Linked DNA regions of Lytechinus pictus. The protein of the gene in region 1 purifies or fractionates together with the protein of each later gene. This does not show direct contact. Links are inferred from orthologs where the notes say so. Each region holds a gene or a part of one and is shown on either strand. Other genes may lie near its edges.

What was found.
Region 2: the proteins of methylosome subunit pICln-like (region 1) and serine/threonine-protein kinase RIO1-like purify together in Homo sapiens (affinity purification with mass spectrometry; 3 studies listed by BioGRID and IntAct, with this or other methods). This does not show direct contact. The link is inferred for Lytechinus pictus from reciprocal best matches to the Homo sapiens genes CLNS1A and RIOK1.

What each region holds. Positions count from the first base shown.
Region 1 is NC_087260.1:17,723,192-17,733,397, reverse strand, and holds the start of methylosome subunit pICln-like, read right to left. Parts: upstream 4,541-10,206; 5' UTR 4,452-4,540; coding exon 4,330-4,451; intron 1-4,329. Other genes in the region: LIM and senescent cell antigen-like-containing domain protein 1, read left to right, coding at 7,483-7,493. UniProt on the Homo sapiens protein: Involved in both the assembly of spliceosomal snRNPs and the methylation of Sm proteins.
Region 2 is NC_087261.1:7,178,928-7,189,123, reverse strand, and holds the start of serine/threonine-protein kinase RIO1-like, read right to left. Parts: upstream 4,510-10,196; coding exon 4,440-4,509; intron 2,012-4,439; coding exon 1,919-2,011; intron 1,534-1,918; coding exon 1,490-1,533; intron 531-1,489; coding exon 480-530; intron 320-479; coding exon 192-319; intron 1-191. UniProt on the Homo sapiens protein: Involved in the final steps of cytoplasmic maturation of the 40S ribosomal subunit. Involved in processing of 18S-E pre-rRNA to the mature 18S rRNA. Required for the recycling of NOB1 and PNO1 from the late 40S precursor.

The DNA.
Region 1 (10,206 bases):
GATAGCGGACCCCGCCGTGAACTTTGAAAGGTCGTATTACCGACGGAGCTCACTGCGCTACTCTCTAACCCCGTTTATAATGATATAAATCTTCTCTTCAACCTCGTGGTGATAGCGGACCCCGCCATAAACTTTTAAAGACTGTACTATTGACGGAGCTTATTGCGTTACTCTCTTACATCGTTTATGATGATATACATTTTATTTTCAACCTCGTGGTGATAGCGGACCCCGCCGTGAACTTTTAAAGATCGTGCTACTGACGGAGCTCATTGCGTTACTCTCTTACATCGTTTATGATGATATTCATTTTATATTATCAACCTCGTGGTGATAGCTGACCCCGCCATAAACTTTTAAAGACTGTACTATTGACGGAGCTTATTGCGTTGCTCTCTTACATCGTTTATGATGATATACATTTTATTTTTAATCTCGTGGTGATAGCGGATGCCGCCTTGAACTAGTGCTGTAGCCGAACCGCCGAACCGAACGGTAGTTCGCCGAACATGGCACTTCCGAACCGAACAGAACCGAACCGAACACTAAGACTTGGTTCGGAAGTTCGGCAAAAAAAAAAAAAAACGGCTTTCAGCTAATAAATTTATACATGTAAGTTTACACCCTTTCTAATCATTATATTTGCGCATTCTCTAATCTTCTTTGCAATTGTATGTTGGAAGTATGCGCTTATTTTGCGGTTACTAGATTTTGTTTTCATTTTCATGTTGACATTGTGGTTTTTACGGCCCTGATTAAGAAAGGAGATCCGATGAATGATGTTGCGCGAGCTTGCGCTATAATCATTTTACTGGCTTTCATCATCTCTCGCTCTGTGGCCGAATCGCCGAAGCATGGTAAAGAAAACCAAAACTGTATGAGTGTTCATTGGTTAAATCTAATTATTTAAATATTGTTGTTTTTAGGTGGCGAACAAGATTCTTGTTTGAAAATCTTCAAAGTATTTTGAATGAACGAGCTCAATAAACTGAAAGTGAAAGATGAAGTACCATTAATATTACGAATTACGATACGTGATGAAGATCGTAACTCGTGTATTGTTGCGGCGGAGAATAAAGATCTGATTGAGGTGATTAACATTATTATTGAGGTGTCGGCTCGCTACTGTCTAGTTTTCATGATTCTAGAGAGAAGTAAAGAGTTTTGAAAACGAGAGATCCAGTGAAAGTGGGAAATAAAGTGAGTGACTGTTAGAGATGGAAAGGAGAGACGCAAAACAAATAATATAGAAATGAGATGAGGTGAAGTTATCTTTTTTATTATTAACAATCAGATGAAAATAAAAATCAAACACTCATGAATGATTACGGTATAGCATATAGCAAGATCCCCTTCCCCTCGTTGAAAAGTTGAATGAAGATAAAGCGGAAACAGTCATCTCTTGGGGGAAAATGACCCCCAATCTTTACTTTTTTCCCTTTCTTATCAACTTCTCAAATTAACCATAAACAATTCGATGATCACTCTACTCCCCCTGTCCCATTACAGTCGTAAAACTTTGCATCCCACTTTGTCTGTATGTTCATGGTCGAATGAAATCTGACCAATAAAATCATAGAAATCTCGGCAATTGCTTTTCAATCGGTGAGCTGAGTTTCGCGGGTGACAAAGCACGTGGCTGTATGTACCAATGCGACAATCAGCGACATGCGATTGGTGGTTTAGTTCACCCATCGAGCCAATTAGCGAAAGGCGCATTACATAAGCACGCTTTCTTCGACACGCCCCTGGCCCTACTATGCCTGCAGTTCAGTGCACTGGCGCTGGCCGCCTCGTATGTGATGCAATGGCCAATCACGTTTGGCCGGACTGTAAATATAAATATTCATGAGCTCAGAGTCCCGCTACAAGGGGACTGCATGCGCTGGCCTAACTGGTACCGGTACGAGTGCGAGCGTAGTTAATTTGGCAAGTATCCAAAGCGTGGTCCAGGTATGGACGACGAGGAAGAGTCGCCATTTTAGAACTGTGAGTTACCCAATAAATCTGTCATCAGATAATCAAATTCGAGATAACAGTTGATTCGTTGAGCGCTATAACTTTCATAGTTTCATGTCAGCAAGATAGAGATAAAATGGTTTGATGTGACAGAGGACACGCGAGCACATGCAGTCAATCAAGTACAAATTGTCTACCGAAACGCTACGTATACCTGAATGAACTATAACTTTTATCAGTCTATCATTACCGAACCCCGAACCGAACCAATGTTCGGCAATTTTCTGCCGAACCTTGCCGAACCGAACCGAACCCGAACATGGCGCCTGACTTGCAGCACTACCTTGAACTTTGAAAGGTCGTATTACCGACGGAGCTCACTGCGCTACTCTCTTACCCCCTTTTTTGATGATAGACATCTTCTCCGTGAACTTCAAATTGATTTGAAAACGCTAGCTACCCAAAACATTTTAATAACATTTCAAATCATCGTGCGTGCTTGCGTCTTCTACTTCATTTTAATTGCACTTGCGACTTTAAGATGATGCGTCGTAAGAGATCATTCCAATAATTCTAAATCGCTAGCACCTAAAAATACTTCTAAAAGATGTCCCGCCGATCGTTCATTAACCTCTGATCTATGAGAAATATTTTCATTTTATTTTCCTTTGCGCCTTTGCTCGGAAGATGCGTCTTTCGTTTATCTTTCTAATAAAAATCACTCGGTTTATTTTAAAGCAATAACACCTCAAAACCCCTGGCTTTAAAACATGTTCCAAACGATCGCGCATGTTGGCGACTTCCATTCCAATGCATTCGTCTTTGTGACTTTGTCAGGAAGATGCGCGCGACCGCGAACAACATTTTGATGTCATTATTCCTTTGTTTTTAAACATCGCCGATTCGATTTTCGATTCGATTTCGATTTTAGAAGCTTAACTGCCGATCCGATTTTCGATCTGATTTTTGATCCGATTTACAACATTAACTGTATCAGACCTAGACCAAAAGCTTCTGTCTCTGTTATTGGTTGTTCCGCTGAACTCCGTTGGCTCCACTCGACAATTACAGAGACCGAAGTTCTAACCCGATCTGTACAGGGACTTGATCTCTGTATGTTTATGTATGAAGTTCGGATGAACCAGTGAAAATGGCGTTGCGCGACAGCCAAAGTCACTGGTTTTTTCCTTTTGAAGTTTATTTTTCCCCGTTTTGGTGCATGCCATTTCAGGCCAAAACGGAATACATGTACTTTAATTTAGTCCAGTTCTTTTTATATATTTTTATGAAATAAAGACAAGAATCGATGAGTCCCGGCATCGGAGGGATCACAGGCTTCACAGCTGGATTTTGCATTGTTAACCCCCTAATGGCGGCTGCACGATCGCGAGCCGTCTGTGTACGAGAATTAAAAAAAAATTAAAAATGTTAAAAAACTCCGCGAAACAGACTGCTGCCAGCTGTCTATATCAGTCCTACCTCGAGCGAAGTTCATGCAGGCTCCACTCCACTTCACATCCTCACACATATAAATAATTCGCTGCCGGTTTCAAAACATCGCATGCGCGAGGGTCCGAGCTTGGACCGGACCCGGCACCTCGCACATACAATGTATCGCATCCGCATGCGATGTTTTGAAATTGGCAGCGAATTATTTATGTGTGAGGAACTTCATGTTGGCTCTAAACTAAATCACCAATTTTGAGACTGATAGAAGCATGGAAAAGAAGTGAAACTTAGTGTAAAGTAAGAATATTATTATTAGTTTTATTGTTTTTATTAAATATCGTGATGTTGCATGAATTTTATATTTCCCCCCCATAAAACCCCACCTTTCATGTCCTTTGTCACTCGGAATATCAGATCGAGTTCACGGTCTCGAAGTTCGGGTTGGTGGAGCGTAGTGTAGCGGTAGTGGACTCTGTGGAGTGGAGCCTGCACGAACTTCGGGTTGGTGGAGCGTAGACGTACATGCATGTAGTGACTAGTGACTGTAGCTAGCGCCAGTAGCGGTAGTGAAGTGGAGCCTGCACTGCAGGCTGCACGAACTTCGCTCGATCGTATCAGACCACATGCATCAGTAGGCCTACCGAATTTGGAGCCCATTATCCAGCCTTTCACAAGCTTCATTCTCTCTCATTAGCCGACCCCCTGGCAAAAATAATCCGGAACGACCAGGCCATGCTGCATGCATGCATGTCGGGCGCGGCGCTTGCTGCAGGATCAGGAATAAATCCCAGCGCAATTTGTACCGGGTCCAGGCCGACTCTTCCCCGATCATGACGGCTAGAGTTTCGTCTAAATGGAGTCTCTGATCATGCCCGACAGGCGCGGCGCAGCGCGCACGCCTTATTACTTAGTTTTTTTTACCTTTCAGCTATGTATAATGTCCCCTTAGACAAGTCTTGTTTCTCCACGAAAGCAATGGTGTCATCTTTCTGCCACCTCACTGATGACTGTGGAGGTTGAATTGAAGCGATAAATCCCATCATTATTTCCCTTCTTTTTTTTCAAGACACCCGCGTGATGGCGATATCTTCATCGAATCGACTAAATTTCGTTGGGTTCATTCGACAGAGATGGCGCTGTGCCAAATAAGGTCCATGGCCATGGTTCAACATCGACCGTTCAATTCAATTTTTATTTTGGGGGTTTTCGGAAAAAAATGTAGATTTTTCATTGAAAGACTGTTTTGTGTGTGTGTCAGATATTAAAAGGTAAATTATTAGAGGCTTATTTTTTTATAAAACGTATGGATTTTTTTTTATAAAACGTATAGGACGTATAAAAGGCATAGGGGAGGGGTAAGGTACCGAAGAGGAGAAAAAATACCGAGGAGAAAAGGGGAGAGAAATGAATGAAGAAGAGAGAATAGTATGAAAATTAGAAGTCGTAGACACAAACTCGTCTCTATTTACCCATATAACTAAAAATGTCTCTAGAGAAAAGTATAGCCTAGGCTAGTAGAAATGAACGACAAGTGCCCATCATTAGCTTTCGATCAACTCACACTAGTCTTCCGCTGAGAGAACCCCGATCGATCTATTAAGTCATTTTTTTTAGTGAAAAATCTTTAAACATGGGGTATTGTATTGGGGTATCAGTTTGAGCTTGAAAATCTGTAAAGGATAAGCCCACCCCAACAAAAAGATGGTTTGAATAAAAAGAGAAAAATCAAACAGGTATAACAAATAAATTTTCATCAAATTCGGATGTAAAATAAGAAAGTTATAACATTTTTAAGTTTTGCTTAATTTCACGTAATAGTTATTCACATACTGGTCGGCATGCAAATGAGGGTACTGATGACCCCGGGCTGATGGCATCCACTCTTTTGTATTTCATTACATGGAATATGAAATATTCTAATTTTCTTCTCGTTGTCATGTGAAACAAAGTTTTATTCCTCCCTGAACATGACTGAGTAATTATCATTAACATTTTGTGATTCTATAACTATAGTAGGCCTATCAAGAGGGTCATTATTGTCAAATCTGCAAAAATTTAAATAGTTATTTTAAACAATAAAAAACAAAAGAAATAGTGAGTCAGGAACATCATCGACTCTCTCATTTGCATTTTAATGAGTTATTTATACAACTGTTTTGTGAAAAATATACGCGAAACTTTAAAGTGTCATAACTTTTTTATTTTATATCCGATCATTTGATGGAATTTTCAGTGTTATGCTTTTTTTATTTTTCTCTTCAAATTAACTTGTTTTTTCCTAGGTGAACTAGACCTTTAAACATACCTTGTAAATGATTTTGTCTTTTCGTAAATTTAACCCATTTAAGTCATTTTTTCCCAGTTTTCCAACAAACTTCAATTTTTGCGTCCGTCAGTAAACAATTTTTTTTTTAAAGTTACACATGCCATTACAAACGACTAGAACACAACATGGGTCTCTTTTAGGAAGAAAATCCGTAATAATAATGGGTACCCCCTTTCACAAAAAATAATTGAAAATAGGCACGAGTTTCAATTAAGGCTTCATCTGTACAACCCCTCCGGACCGATAAATCGTTGATTTGGCTCAACAGGTTGTGGAGGCTGAAAAAATACAATTATTTACTTTTTTCATATTTTTTTTCTTTATTTTATTTTGCCGGATCTCGTGATTATGAATTTTAACTATCAGTATCTTTAAAACCCCAACCTGAGAAACCAATTAATTGAATGCTTTATAAACATGATTTTGTACTCCATTTTTTTTCAGCCTCCACTTTCTTTTTCAATAAACGTATTTATTATTATTATCATCATCTCATTGGGATTTTTTTATTTTTTTAAATATACATATCTTCATTGAGCATTGAGAGTCAAATTAAGAGAATATGCAAATGATATGTTATACCAACCTGAATACAGACCGTGATCTTTTCTCCTCTGTCAGGTAATTTTATTTTACATAAATATGATTGATTTTTTTTTATAGATATGTATGTCCTTTTTTCTTTTCCTTATTTTTCTTTTATCTTTTTTCCTTCTATTCTCCTCTTCGTGTTGTTATTGTTGTTGTTCTACGTGTTCTTTTTCTTCCTTTCCTCCTCAATTCTTCTTCCGTAATTCTTCTCCTCCTCCTCCTTCTTCTTCTTCTTCTTAATTTCTTCTTCTTCCGTTCTTCTTCTTCTTCTCTTCTTTATATATTTTTCTTGTATATATCATCTCTATATCTTATTCATTGCTTAAAGTGAATTGTGATTTCCTTTTTGTGTGTAAATAGTATAAATTTACCTTTTATTATTTCAATTCTATTTTGGCCTACATATCGATCGAGGACCCCACTGGAAATAAGCTTTCGAGCTTTCGTGGGTCTTCCTTTGAAAGCCTTTAATGTTATTATGTTGTGGCCGGTGACTTACCAAGTAAAATTCATCCATCCATCCATCCAGTGGCGCTGGCGTACCTAGGATTTTCCACAGGGGGGGGGGGGGGGCAAATTCGTCCGCCAAAAAAATTTGACAAGCAAAAAAAAAAAAAAAAAAAAAAAAAAGGTCTTCAACCACAAATAAATGATTTTGTACCAGATAAAAATTTGACAAGCAAAAAAAAAGGTCTTCAAGACTCGTCAGGGGGGGGGGCAGGCATATGTCCCTTGCATGGGTTGTGACTCGTCAGGGGGGCAGTCTGCCCCCTCTGCCCCCCCCCCCCCCCCGTAGGTACGCTAGTGCATCCATCCATCCACCCATCCATCCATCCCCCATCCATCCGTCAGTCAATCCATCCATCCACCCATCCATCCATCCATCCATCCATCCATCCATCCCCCATCCATCCATCCATCAATTAATCAATCAATAGCCCCTCTCCCATGCCGATCGTGTGGCCGTGGGGACGGGGCCCTAATTCTGTGACTACTGTTTCTCGCTGATCCTCAAGTATCGCAATATGCATAGGACATAGCCCTTGAGAGAGGAATCAGCGAACCTCTTGCACACTTCACTGTTGATGTTGTCGACTTCCGCTAGCTGCGGATTATATTTTTAGGAGTGGCTTTTTGGCAAATTTTATCGATCACCGATGACAAAAACGTGAGTGTTTCTATCAACTTAATACTTGTTATTGAAAGCCTTTGATGTTGTGAGCTAGAATACTTTTAAACCACCAATTTCCAGTATATTTCCTATGTATTAGCAGTTCCTATAGTCAGAAATTGTATTTATTTATGGAAATTCTATCGCGCTCAGCATGAGTCAACGGAGAAGCAGTTAGCGAATGCAGCGGATTCTGAATGCTTCGCATACCGGAGTTGCCCCTAAGCACGTCGGCGAGTTAGAGGTCAAACCCGCTAGCTGAGAAACGTCTACTGCAGTGGTATCTGATTACAGTGCTGGGTAGCATGTATTTTAGACGTTTTCTTTACAATTATTGTAAATGATCAAATAGAAATTCCCATATGATGTAGGGCATGTAACTCTTAGCCTTTAGGACTAGTACTAGTACTAGTAGTAGTAGGACTAGGACTCACTATTTGTATAAAATTAAAAGTACTAGTGATGGCAGTGTATATAGGGCCTAGTAATAGTATTATTATTGCCTGACATGACACCTTTAATATTTTCAGTGCTTTAAAAATGACAACTAGAGGAAATGCAATCAAGAAAAATTCACGCTTGCTTTTCCAAATATTATGAAAATTATGAATATGATAACATTATTTTATATTTACCAACCTATTTCTTCGTATCGCACTTGCCGCATACCCCTCCACGAAAAACCATTATTTTTGTGCGCGACAAATTACATCATGATTCCGGACGCGCGCCGGACGGGTAAAGATATCCTTGATTATAATGATGTAAGAACAAATTTTTGTGATTTTTTTCTTCTTTTATCATATCATGAGTAAATTCTAAGTATTATTTGCTTTTTTTATATCGAATCTGAGCAGATGTTGGTAATAAATTCGTGTTTGATAACTTTTTGTCTTGTTAGCTGCATGTTCCATGGCACTTTCCAATAATAATATGCACGCGTTCGTATCGTGACGCTCATCAAGTTCTATCGATGCGCTGCCGATCGACGGCTCTACTCACGGTAAACCTCGCGCACGGGTACCTTGAGAACTAGCCGTCAACGATCACCCACAATGCCCCACACCTCGTCATTCGATCGAAGGAGTGGACGAGATTGAAATTCGGCAAATCAGGCCCATATTTCCGTTAGAAAATATATCAATTGTTAATACAAAACTATGTTATATGATATTTTAAGCATTTTCTGTAATTTTTAGAGATAATTAGGTAAAAGTTTGATTTTTTGCTTTGTTTTTGCAATCTTGTTCTATGTATTGCTCTGTGAAATTGAATTGCGGAAGTCTTACGGTACGAATTTGTTTTAGAACGCAGTGATACGCGCGTCCGGAAACATAATAGTGTCCGGTAATACAATACGTGACTATACTACTCAGTCAGACGGCAGGTCCCAAGAAAGTGGCTTCTTTCATCCAAGTGATAATTGATATTCATGACTTGAGATGTTTTGCATATTTAATGAGCTTGATGCGGACCAAAACACCTCTTTTCATTCGGTCTTTGCTGCTCTACTTGTGCATCGAATTTCATGAATTTGGTATCATTGTAAAGAAGAAGAATCATTCTTTTAGTTTTAGGTCATGTGTTTGAATTCATTCAAAGATTTTGTAATATACTGTAGGTTAAAATTTTGATCTAAAATATGCTACAAAATAATTATTTTCACATGAAAAAAGCTGCTTATTTTTGTTTGAGCCCAAATGATTTTTAGATCATGATAAAGCTGAATATGTATGCTTTAAAATGACATAGGTTTCAAAATAAGAATTGGTTTAATCGGGTCAAGATCACACTTTTCATTTGCCAAGTACATAAAGCAGCATGAAAACAAGAATACTGCACTCTGATTGGTCAAAGAGACCACACACTGGCAAATTCCAACGGTTCCAGTGCCTGGGTTCATGGGAAGGTCACACTTCCCATGTGGTAATCTCCTCAAATACCCCGCGCCTGTTGTTCTGTGAACCTTATCCAGCCAATCAGAACTCTGGATTTCATGCATGTACAAAATTTCAGAAATCTCGTCTTGTACCTTGGTGGGAAAAGTGTGATCTTGATCCGATTAAAAGGTGCCGCATATCAAGAGTGGCATTGTGAGAAAGTACAGAAGTTCAGCTTTATGGTGATATAGATATCATTGAGGCTCAAAATAAAAAGTTTTGCACAATTTGCAAAAGAAAACAGAGGAAGAAAATTCAGTTTTGAGGCACATTTTCAGGCCAGAAATTTACTTATTTAACAAAATATTGTATACAAAATAAATGACCAATATGAAAGAGTAACATTTACTCTATCTGATGGTGCAATAATATTTCATTTAACTTGAGGTTAAAACAGGTAAATTCTAAGAGAAAGAAAATCTCACGAATCACGAGATTTTGCAAGGAGGAGGATTCAGCCACGAGATGATTTGGATGAATCTGGCCTTTTTGCTCATTAGCATAGGGACCTGCGGTCTGACTGTACTGGTACTACTTTACTAGTAATAGGTACATTACATGTGATGTAGGGGGGTTAATAAGAACTGAACTAAAAAATAGGGCAGGCGGCAGTCACAATTTGTGTTGTCTTTTTGGTTGTGTTGCTGTCCATAATTAATAATCATCTAGACTATTAATAAAGTTACTGTCTACGTTAACTAGACTAAGACACATGTAGATCTAAGTCTAAGTGTTAAGTGTCGTACACGAAGATATCTACATTATTATAT
Region 2 (10,196 bases), on another chromosome or scaffold:
GAGATAGTACATGATGACTTTACAGTCACAGATGTCTTGAAACTGTCTGCACGAATTTGACTTTTTTTCTCTCGTGGGTGCTTTTTCATTAATAATATTAAATAAAACATGAATAAAAGTTCAGTTCTTTTTTTATATTTAATAAGACCTTTGTCATGTAAGCCTATGTCTTTCTATAATGGTTGGAATACCTGTCTGATTCCACTTTCTTGTTAGTCTTCATTAGAGAGTTGGTGGCTGAGTTGGAAAGAGAGCGTGGACCGGAGTATTTATCAACTGTTACCTTGCTGGCGTATCGGTGCATTGACTTTTCATGGGGCTGGGAAAGAAAAAAACAAGACTATGAAAGGGACAGTCAAATCTCGCAGCAGGTATGGATTACCAGAGAAAGGTGGAGCATGGAACTCATTCCTAGCAAAAGTTACCACCCCCCCGCCAAAAAAAAAAACACAAAAAAAAAAGAAAGAAAATAAACTGACCTGAAATGAAGAGGCCTCTTTGTGGCTGGCTGGGTTCATTCCGGGTTTAGACTGTGCGATAAGGAAATATGGGTAGAAGCAAGTCAATGAATATGCAAATGGGTGTTTCACATACATGTAGTTGTTTGTAAGTTATGATGACTTAACGCACGACTGGTGACCCTTTTTTGTGCTAAATGGTATATCCCTCTGTAGCTGACTTAGCACCTAAGAACATGTCCCAGCTGTACATTAAGTCATGAACAGCTTTATGGAACACCCACCAGGAATGACAACACAACGTGAATGTGAAAAATTCAAAGAATGTCAAGATCTAGGGGCTGAAAGTGATAATGGTATAAACTTAGCCGTCTAATCATGGTTACTTCCATAAATCATTTTATTCTGATTGGTTGTTAAGATTTTTCAACATCATAACCAGGCATTGTATTGGATGGCAAAGTTCATTTTTATACAACAGGGCCCTAGAACAGAAAACATCTTTGGAAGCACGAAGAATAGAGGAGATTGGGTAAAGAATGACACAATCGAAACGAGGGGAAGATACTTAAATAAAAGACAACTTATTGTGATAACAGGCATGATTTACTCAATCACTTTATGATTGGTTAATAGGACATCAGCAGGCATCTACTACATGTATTCGGACAATATTGGCCCTCTCACTTGGTAGATTTCTGGTATTCCATTCTGAGCCACCCAATATCATACATGTATAACATGTGGCCCTAGTGGTCAAACCCATATAGTAGCCATAAAAACGGATATGTCATACTGAAGCTTTTCGACATGCACTCATCAGAGTCTAATAACATGAGACAATGGTCACAAGTCATTTGGTTCTATTATACAAGTACATACATTGTTTCACTCTAGCATTCTGGTCATTCATGTGATTTTACTCCGCAGAGTACATGTAAAAAACCTTCAGTACATGTATGTCCGTTTTTAAGGCTGTTTCAATACGATTTTCAGTACCAAACGCGTATTCATATCAGTATTTACTTTACCTGAGGGTTACACGCTCGTACAGCATTGAACTTCTTTGTAAAATCTGAAAGATATTGAATATTTTTCATGTTTTTATTTTACAACAGCGATAAAGAATGTACATGTAGCAGAAGCAGAACAAGTATATATATTTATCAGGAAAAAAAGAAGATAAAGACAGCAGTGGGGAGGAGGAAAAGAAGAAGATGAACGTGAACTTATCTTCAACAGCATCAGACCATCGTGACATCACCAGAAAATTATGATCGGGATGTCAATAATATCACTAACCATCAGTATCACCATAAAAACATGAACATGTATGTAATTGCTTGGCCAAGTTCACAGCAATACATGGAAGCAAACAGTAAGAGTCGAAGAAGATCAAACAATAAAATTAAACTTGCACAAAAAGATGCATATTTTTTACTACAATCTTGTCCACTAACCTGTGCTTTCATCTTCCCAGTCATAATAGTCATCATCATCTTCTCCTTCATCATCTTCATCCCATTCTGCCTCATCTAAAGATGCTTCAAGCACTAGGAATTCATCAATCGATAGAGAAAATGAAAAGATAATGACAACAACAAATAATGGAAATGATAACTATAACATCGTAAACCAGCACCATTATCGGCATCACCATATTCAGTAAATAATAATAATGCTAACAAAAAAAAAGAAAAATCATAATAATAGTAAGTCAATTACATGTACATGTAGTAGGCTTGGGTTTAACATTTTGTCATTTGTGCCTGTTAGTGACTTTTTGTTTATAATTCTGAACTGCAAAACATTTGAATTGATACAAAATCAAACTGCAATTCTGATTTAATTTATTTGGTCCTCTATTTTCTTTGAAAATAGCATAATTTGCAAGTATTTTGATATTCTAAACCTGTATTAATCCATCAAGTTATCTAGAGCATGCAATAGCCAATGGCATTGGTTTATCTAGTCAGACAAAAATAAATCCACAGGTAGCTTTGATGCTAGACTTGTCGCAAAATCAAGTTATAAATATCAACGACACTACAAGGGAAAACTGGAAAGCCAAAAGAACGCGTATACAAGGAAACACTTGGGAGGGGCGCCCAACAATATTTCACATACATGTACTGTATATTCATTTGTGGTTGTGTATAAAACATATGGGGGACATTGTAGACGAATAAGGAGGGGTGATTTTGACAATAATTTTTTTTTCATAAAATGCTAAAACAAAATTAGAATATACTGTATCTTAAGAGATTTCAGGGAAAAAGTGGGTGGCATTATTCTCATATGTCGCCCATGTGCACTTTCCCTATCCCACCCATCATTTTCTCCAAATGTAGGCCTATTACATACAACCGCATGCCAATATTATGCGAGAGTCTGTTGGGTGCCCTTCCCCATGTAAAAAAAATGAGTGTGTCACAAAATTCCTCAAATGAGCAGTCTTCTCCTTGCCGTGTCTTTTCAGTTTGAAACTGCTCCCTTTGATATTAAACATAACTCTTACATACAGTACATACATATAAATCCAAGGCTAAAAAAGGAGTATCAGAATTGAATCCTACTGGAAGTAAAAAAAAAAAAGAAGACAGTAGGTGGTTTCAAACCGCCTCGATCACAAGAATCCCCGTTAAATTACGAGAACTTTTTTAGGCTGAAAAATACCCATTAATTATTCCTGCATTCACACCGCCCTGAAACATACCCTTCGGGATAAGTTCCTGAAGTTACGAGCATGCGCAGTATGGTCTGATAAGCAGCAAGGCGCGAAATTCAAAATCACTAGCCCAGCAGCAACCCATGCACGGCGCCGCACCCAACGACACGCTGGGCTAAAAGTTCCCGTAATTTGCTTTCAGACCGCCAAAATACCCACGACCTTGGAAAAATCCCCGCGAAAGTTCTCGTAATTTCGCCAAGTACATGTACCTACTATTTATCGGGTATTTTCTTTCGGGGATATTACGCGTAGTTTGCTTTCACACCGGGGTAAATTTCCCGATCAGAGAATACCTGGAACCGGCGAACTTCGAGGCGGTCTGAAACCAGTGAGTTTGGGTTTCGAGGTGGATTCTTATTTTATCAGTGGAGAGCACGGGATAGCTTTCCTGCAAAAGAGACACTTGTAATTACATGTACATACAATAACATCATTAACCATGAATTAACTAATTTGCTCCCCCCAAAAAAAAAAGAAGAAAAAGAAAAAGAGAAACTAAATAGATTAAATTGATATTAAGTACAGAATATGAGAAAGATTAATTAGGAAAGACTCCCATCATGTCCCCTCCACTAATTAAAACAATTCCTACAACAAACATCCCCTCTCTTGTTCTCCATTTCTTCCTCTTCTTTTCTACATGTACAAATACATGTACTTCAAGTTGGATTTGAACCTCTCGATCACAGCTGATGTATCTCCAGTCTGTCGCCTAACTCACCGAGCAAGCAGGAATTGCTGAAAGCAATGGGTTTCACAGCAATTATATGCCGATATTGCGACTAGTCTAGTCTCCAAGAGTGTAGTGAATATATTTTTCTGACTAAATAAAATGATGCGATCAGGAATAATTCAATACACACACTCAATCCTGCACGAAACATTGCTGGAATACCTTATACCGCATCTATTGAAAAAAAGTACTGTACATGTATATTGTCTTCCTAGCTTGGATAAATTGATATATACAGCATCTGTGCTATTTGTGCTTTGCTGTGCCGATGCAGTGACTATTAAAAACACTATTCCCATGCGTGAACATAATGCCACGCAGACCAAAAAATGCCTTTTTTTGGTATGTATCCAACTTTTCTTTCCTAAATCTCTTAGATATATGTCATATATCTGTACATACCCTTTCCATTTACCATAATTTTTTTAGTTCAAGTTCAATGGAGGGAACATAATGATGGAAGTCTTGTCAAAGATTGTTAACTATTTCTCTTTGAAAAATCAGAATAAGTTAAAACCTTTTTGGGTGAGATTTCCTTCCTCAATCTGAGCTGTAGGAAGAGACACCTGATTTCTTAGTGGGTGCATCCTAAAATGAGATAAGCATACAAGAGAAAGGTTATAGAAACTGTTCACAAACAACCAGCTATAAACATAACATATACAGACATTAACGAAAGTGAGCAAATATTGAAAAAAAATGGTTTTTTTTTTCTATTAACCCTAAAAGGACTGGAGGGCATCATGGCCACCCCCCCCCCCCCCCACTTTCCGCAATATTTCTAAAACGCAAAAAAAAGCATCGCAAAATTCTGTGACTTTTTTCACGCTTCGTGCGATATTTCTGAAACGCGAAAAGATACATGTAGCACCGCAAAATTTTATGACTTTTTTCTTTGTAATCTCAACTTTTGAGACCAATTTCGCGACCTACGGGTATAGCATCGCGATGCCACATGACTTTTTATGAGACAATGTCATGCCGAAAATGGCTAATTTTTATACTTTGTGTACGAAGTCTAGGGGAGTTGATATTCACAAAAGGGTGAATTTTTTTTTCTAATTGGTCTGCTTAATTACTTCAGGGTTTAATTTAGTTAATAATGGTCTGTAATAATTCCCATTGAAAAAAACAATGAAAAACAAAAGATGAAAAAACAAAGAAATACATAAGGAAAAAATTGGCTTTCGCAATTATTCTTTATGGAGACCTTTATTTACAAAGATGACATTTCAGATGTCATCTTTATCTGGAAAAAAAGAGAAAATTTGAAGTGAAATCGGGTGTTAAATTTGCAAATAATGTTTTTCACGAATAAATTTGCATATCTTATTCATAACAAATAAAATATAATTATTTTCAGAATTCTTTTTATACTGGCTTGTACTGTATGTGGCAAAGAATGTGCGTGCCAAATTTTGGCACGATCGCGCGAACGGCGGCCGAGATCAGAATTTGGGGGGCCCAACGTTCTCGCTACCACGCGTCACGGGCTACGCATGCGGTCCGTAGATGCAGTCGGTCATTGACATAAGAAACAACACGCATTCACAAAATTAATCGCACTTTCTAAGGATGTAGCGATATCGATCTGAACATTGGAAACTATGGAGTTAATTTATCGATGTAAATAATCTATAAACTGTAAGTATAAAATGAGATTGACTTCAATTTTTAAATTATCAGTAATTGCCTTTCTGCTTCAATCGCAATTCGCGCAACCGTTACGGCTGTGTGGCCGGAGAAGCATTAAATAGACATAAAATGTGGTGCATTTAGCAGCAATCTAAGCTCGTCGATATTGATATTTTCGATAACTACCGCGCTTTGCGCGGGAGGGGGGACACCCCCATAGCCCCCACCCCCATTTTTTGCCATAGAAAAACTATGGCAAAAATAAGTCTGGCAAAAGTTTTATGCAACGGGGCCCAGGTGAAAATTAAGAAAGGCTGTTCCAGCATGTTTGATATGCTCACAATGAGGCTCAATATCTGTTCACAAAACTGTTGGAATTTTCAAATCTAGAAGTCGAGTTATTGTCATCTTTGTGATACAAAAACAGGGCTTTTTGTGGACAAAAGACGATTGCAAAATCTTATTATTCTCTTTGTTTTGGGAATGGCACACTTTATATAATACATGTACATAGCTTATGGGGAATTGTACAAGCTTTTTATTTAAATCTTAAAGTACTCAGATTGATTTGGCATATGACTACCCCTGGATGATTACCCCCCCACCCCGACAATTACCCCGGACAATATTATTGTCTCAATATTTATTCTCATTATTATTAACGTCTCATCATCACTATTGCCTCATTATTGTCTTATCTTATTTCATAATATCTTCAAAATAATAATTAACACCATAACAAAGGTCCATAATCAGATATCAAATTCATGAAACCTATTTCTAAATTAAATTCATGGAAGGAGCTTTCTGTGCCATTCAAAAATACGACTTCCATTAACAATACCATATTCTAGACATTCAGACACATTCTAACAAAAAATTACTTATCAAACAAAATGCTTGAAGTTTACTTGCAGTTTTGCTCTTAATACTTATTTCGCACGAATTCTACAAAATTATTTTCAAAATAACAATTTAAATTTCATAATTAACAGAGCTCAAATCGTAATTTAAAAAAATACAACGGCTGAAACATACTGTGTCTGAGTACCGAGACTAATCTCGAGCCCATCGCAGCAGGGATGACGTCACTCACAGCTGTTCCTATACGCTCAAAACAACCCTGCTCGATCAGTCGCGTCAGATTCACAAACACCTCACAACACTCAAAATTGAAGTTCATTTCCGCCGGCTCTTAGCTTTACGAACCAAATTCAATTAAACTTTCACAAAATGTTCTCAAATATTCAATTTCATTACTGACCGAGTTTCGATAAGATCCGATGATTTCGAGAAGGCGGTTTCAAGCAAAGAAAAATTAATACCTTAATGTTAGGTCCTTCCATCCCACTATGGTACATTGTAAGTGAAACTCTGTGTTGTTTATTATATTTAATGGGCAATTTTTTAATAAATGATAAACAAATGAGGACAAAGCTCGCATATTTCGAGTAAGAATAGCAGCGTGTGTGTGGTTGACGCGGACGTGATTTTTATCAGCTCTAATTTTGGAAGTTTTTAATATATTTTTCATCCTTTTAAAATCCGTATTTTTAATACTATTTGAATAAATAGATGACTTAGGTGTCATATTACAAGCCAGTAAAAACTTTGATCGTTTTTGATGTACGAAAATTGAGGATTGATTTGGATTGAAAATTTGTTCTCCTTCGTCGGTCATCGTTTGTAACTGCGTCCCGCTGTGAACGGGGATCTACGTGCGTACCCGGCCAGCCGGCCCCGGTACATAGGACCTGGATTTCGTGTGCAGCACTCTTCCGGTACCTAAATATGGCGGCGAGCACTACTTGAACTGACGTCGACGAAGTTATTTTCCTTCATCTGTTGTGTGATAAGCGGTGTCGTGAGTTTATTTATATTGCCGATTTTACTGTTTATATTTATTAAAGACTTATTTGCAATATTTCGTCAATGAGGTGTGTTTTATGACATTTTTAGACATTTGAAACTGTGGTTCTGTGACCGTTTCATCTGTTCACTACGATTTTTACGAATACGATTCCATACTTTCGTTATTGCATGTGAACTTGAACTTAGTCAAGAGTAGATGTACAGTGAATGAATATTGCAATATGGATGCCCAAAGTGATCCTAAAGGAAATACGAAAGTAACAAAACCATCAAAAACTTTAAAACCTAAGTCACGACGTAAGGACACTGATGTAGAAACAAGTGGAATGCCTCTGGCCGTCTCACCTGCATCACGCGATTCAATATAGCAGCAGTGCTGATTTTGAAAACTACTATAACTCGCACAAGATGTTCAGTGATACTTGGTTACTCTTATTTCCACGTTTTATGAACTAGACCAATACACTTATAGAGATATGATGGCAATTCAACAAATACCCCCAACGTGGCCAAAGTTCTTTGACCTTACATGACCTTTGACCTTGATCATGTAACCTGAAACTCGCACAGGATGTTCAGTGATACTTGATTACTATTATGTCCAAGTTTTATGAACTAGACCAACACACTTTCAAATTTATGGCTGTAATTCAACAAATACCCCAATTAGGCCAAAGTTCATTGACCCTAAATGACCTTTGACCTTGATCATGTGACCTGAAACTTGCACAGGATGTTCAGTAATACTTGATTACTATTATGTCCAAGTTTCATGAATCAGATCCATAAACTTTCAAAGTTATGATGGTAATTCAACAGATACCCCCAATTCGGCCAAAGTTCATTGACCCTAAATGACCTTTGACATTGGTCATGTGACGTGAAACTCATGCAGGATGTTCAGTGATACTTGATTAACCTTATGTATAAGTTTCATGAACTAGGTCCATATATTTTCTAAGTTATGATGACATTTCAAAAACTTAACCTTAGGTTAAGATTTTGATGTTGATTCCCCCAACATGGTCTAAGTTCATTGACCCTAAATGACCTTTGACCTTGGTCATGTGACATGAAACTCAGGCAGGATGTTCAGTAATACTTGATTAACCTTATGGCCAAGTTTCATGAACTAGGTCCATATACTTTCTAAGTTATGCTGTCATTTCAAAAACTTAACCTCAGGTTAAGATTTGGTGTTGACGCCGCCGCCGCCGTCGCCGCCGCCGTCGCCGTCGCCGCCGCCGCCGCCGTCGGAAAAGCGGCGCCTATAGTCTCACTCTGCTATGCAGGTGAGACAAAAACTGAAGATATTGATTCTTGTGCACAATTTAAAAAACCCTTCAACAAGAACCAATCATGTATAGAATGTGAAAGATGCGAAGGATGGTTTTGTGCAAAATGTTGCGCCCTCTCACCGGATGAATTTTTACTTTTTAGAAATGTTTTAACTGCACATTGGTTCTGTAAGATATGTGAAAAGAAAGCCATGGAAGCAATCAAATGTGACCAAATTGTAGAAGAAAGATGCAAAAATAATTTAAGTGACACAAGAGATAGATTGTCGAAACTTGAAGTGATGGCTGATCACTGGAAAGAAGTTGAGATTCAGTACACAAAAATTGATGTTGAATTAAAGAACTTACGAGAAGACATGAAAATCTATGGCCATGAACCACAGGATACAGTATCTCTGATTCAGTGAAATTGATTGTTAATGAATGCCTTGACGAGGAAAAGGAGAAAGACAAAAGAAGGTGCAATGTTATTATCCATGGCATACCTGAAAAAGAAACTGATGATAGGCAGGATAAATTAGATGAAGATCTCGCCAGAGTTTCTTCAGTATTTGATATTCTCAAAATTGACTGCGAGTGTGAGTTCAAGACTTTAAGACTTGGAAAAGTCGGTCAACCTGGCCAAGACTCTAAGCCACGTCCTCTATTAGTAAAATTACCCAGTAGCTCCATCAGGGATAGCATATGTAAGCGTGCTATTCAACTGAGAAACGAATCATCAATGGAGGATGTGTACATCCAGCCTGATCGTACGAAGAAGGAGCGGTCAATAAGAGCAGAGTTGGTGAAGGAGCTGAAGAAAAGACAGTTGGCAGGTGACTCCACCTGGAGGATACAGAATGATAGACTCGTGAAAAAAACACAAAACACTGAAATTGATAAAAACCAAACCGAATCGAGATCCTTTCGAGAAGAAAACTAAAACACATCGAAAAGACTATCAAAATACCACATCTTCAGTTTCTTCTGATCATTTTGATGTACATGTAGCACCAGAACACCTTAGATGCATGTATAGTAATGTAGACTCACTTCTTAACAAACGGGAAGAATTGGAAATACGAATTGACTTAGAGAAACCTGATATTATTGCATTGACTGAGATCTTTCCCAAAAACTCACTAACGGATACTGAGCTATTTGAATTTAATTTGCCGGGCTACCGACTTTTTTTACCAAGCAAACACAAGAGGGGAGTAGCTATTTATGTTCTCGAACACTTACAAGTTCAAGAACTTTTGCCAATCTCATGTGAATTTGAAGAAAGTGTGTGGTGTCTTCTGGAAACTGCTAGGGATAAGATTTTAATCGGATGCATTTACAGAAGCCCAAATAGTTCTGATGAAAATAATCAAAATCTTCTCAACCAGCTTCAAGAAGTTGTCTCTCGATACAACCATACTCATGTCATTATTGTTGGTGACTTTAATTTGCCAAACATAGACTGGGAAGGAAATTCAACAACAAGT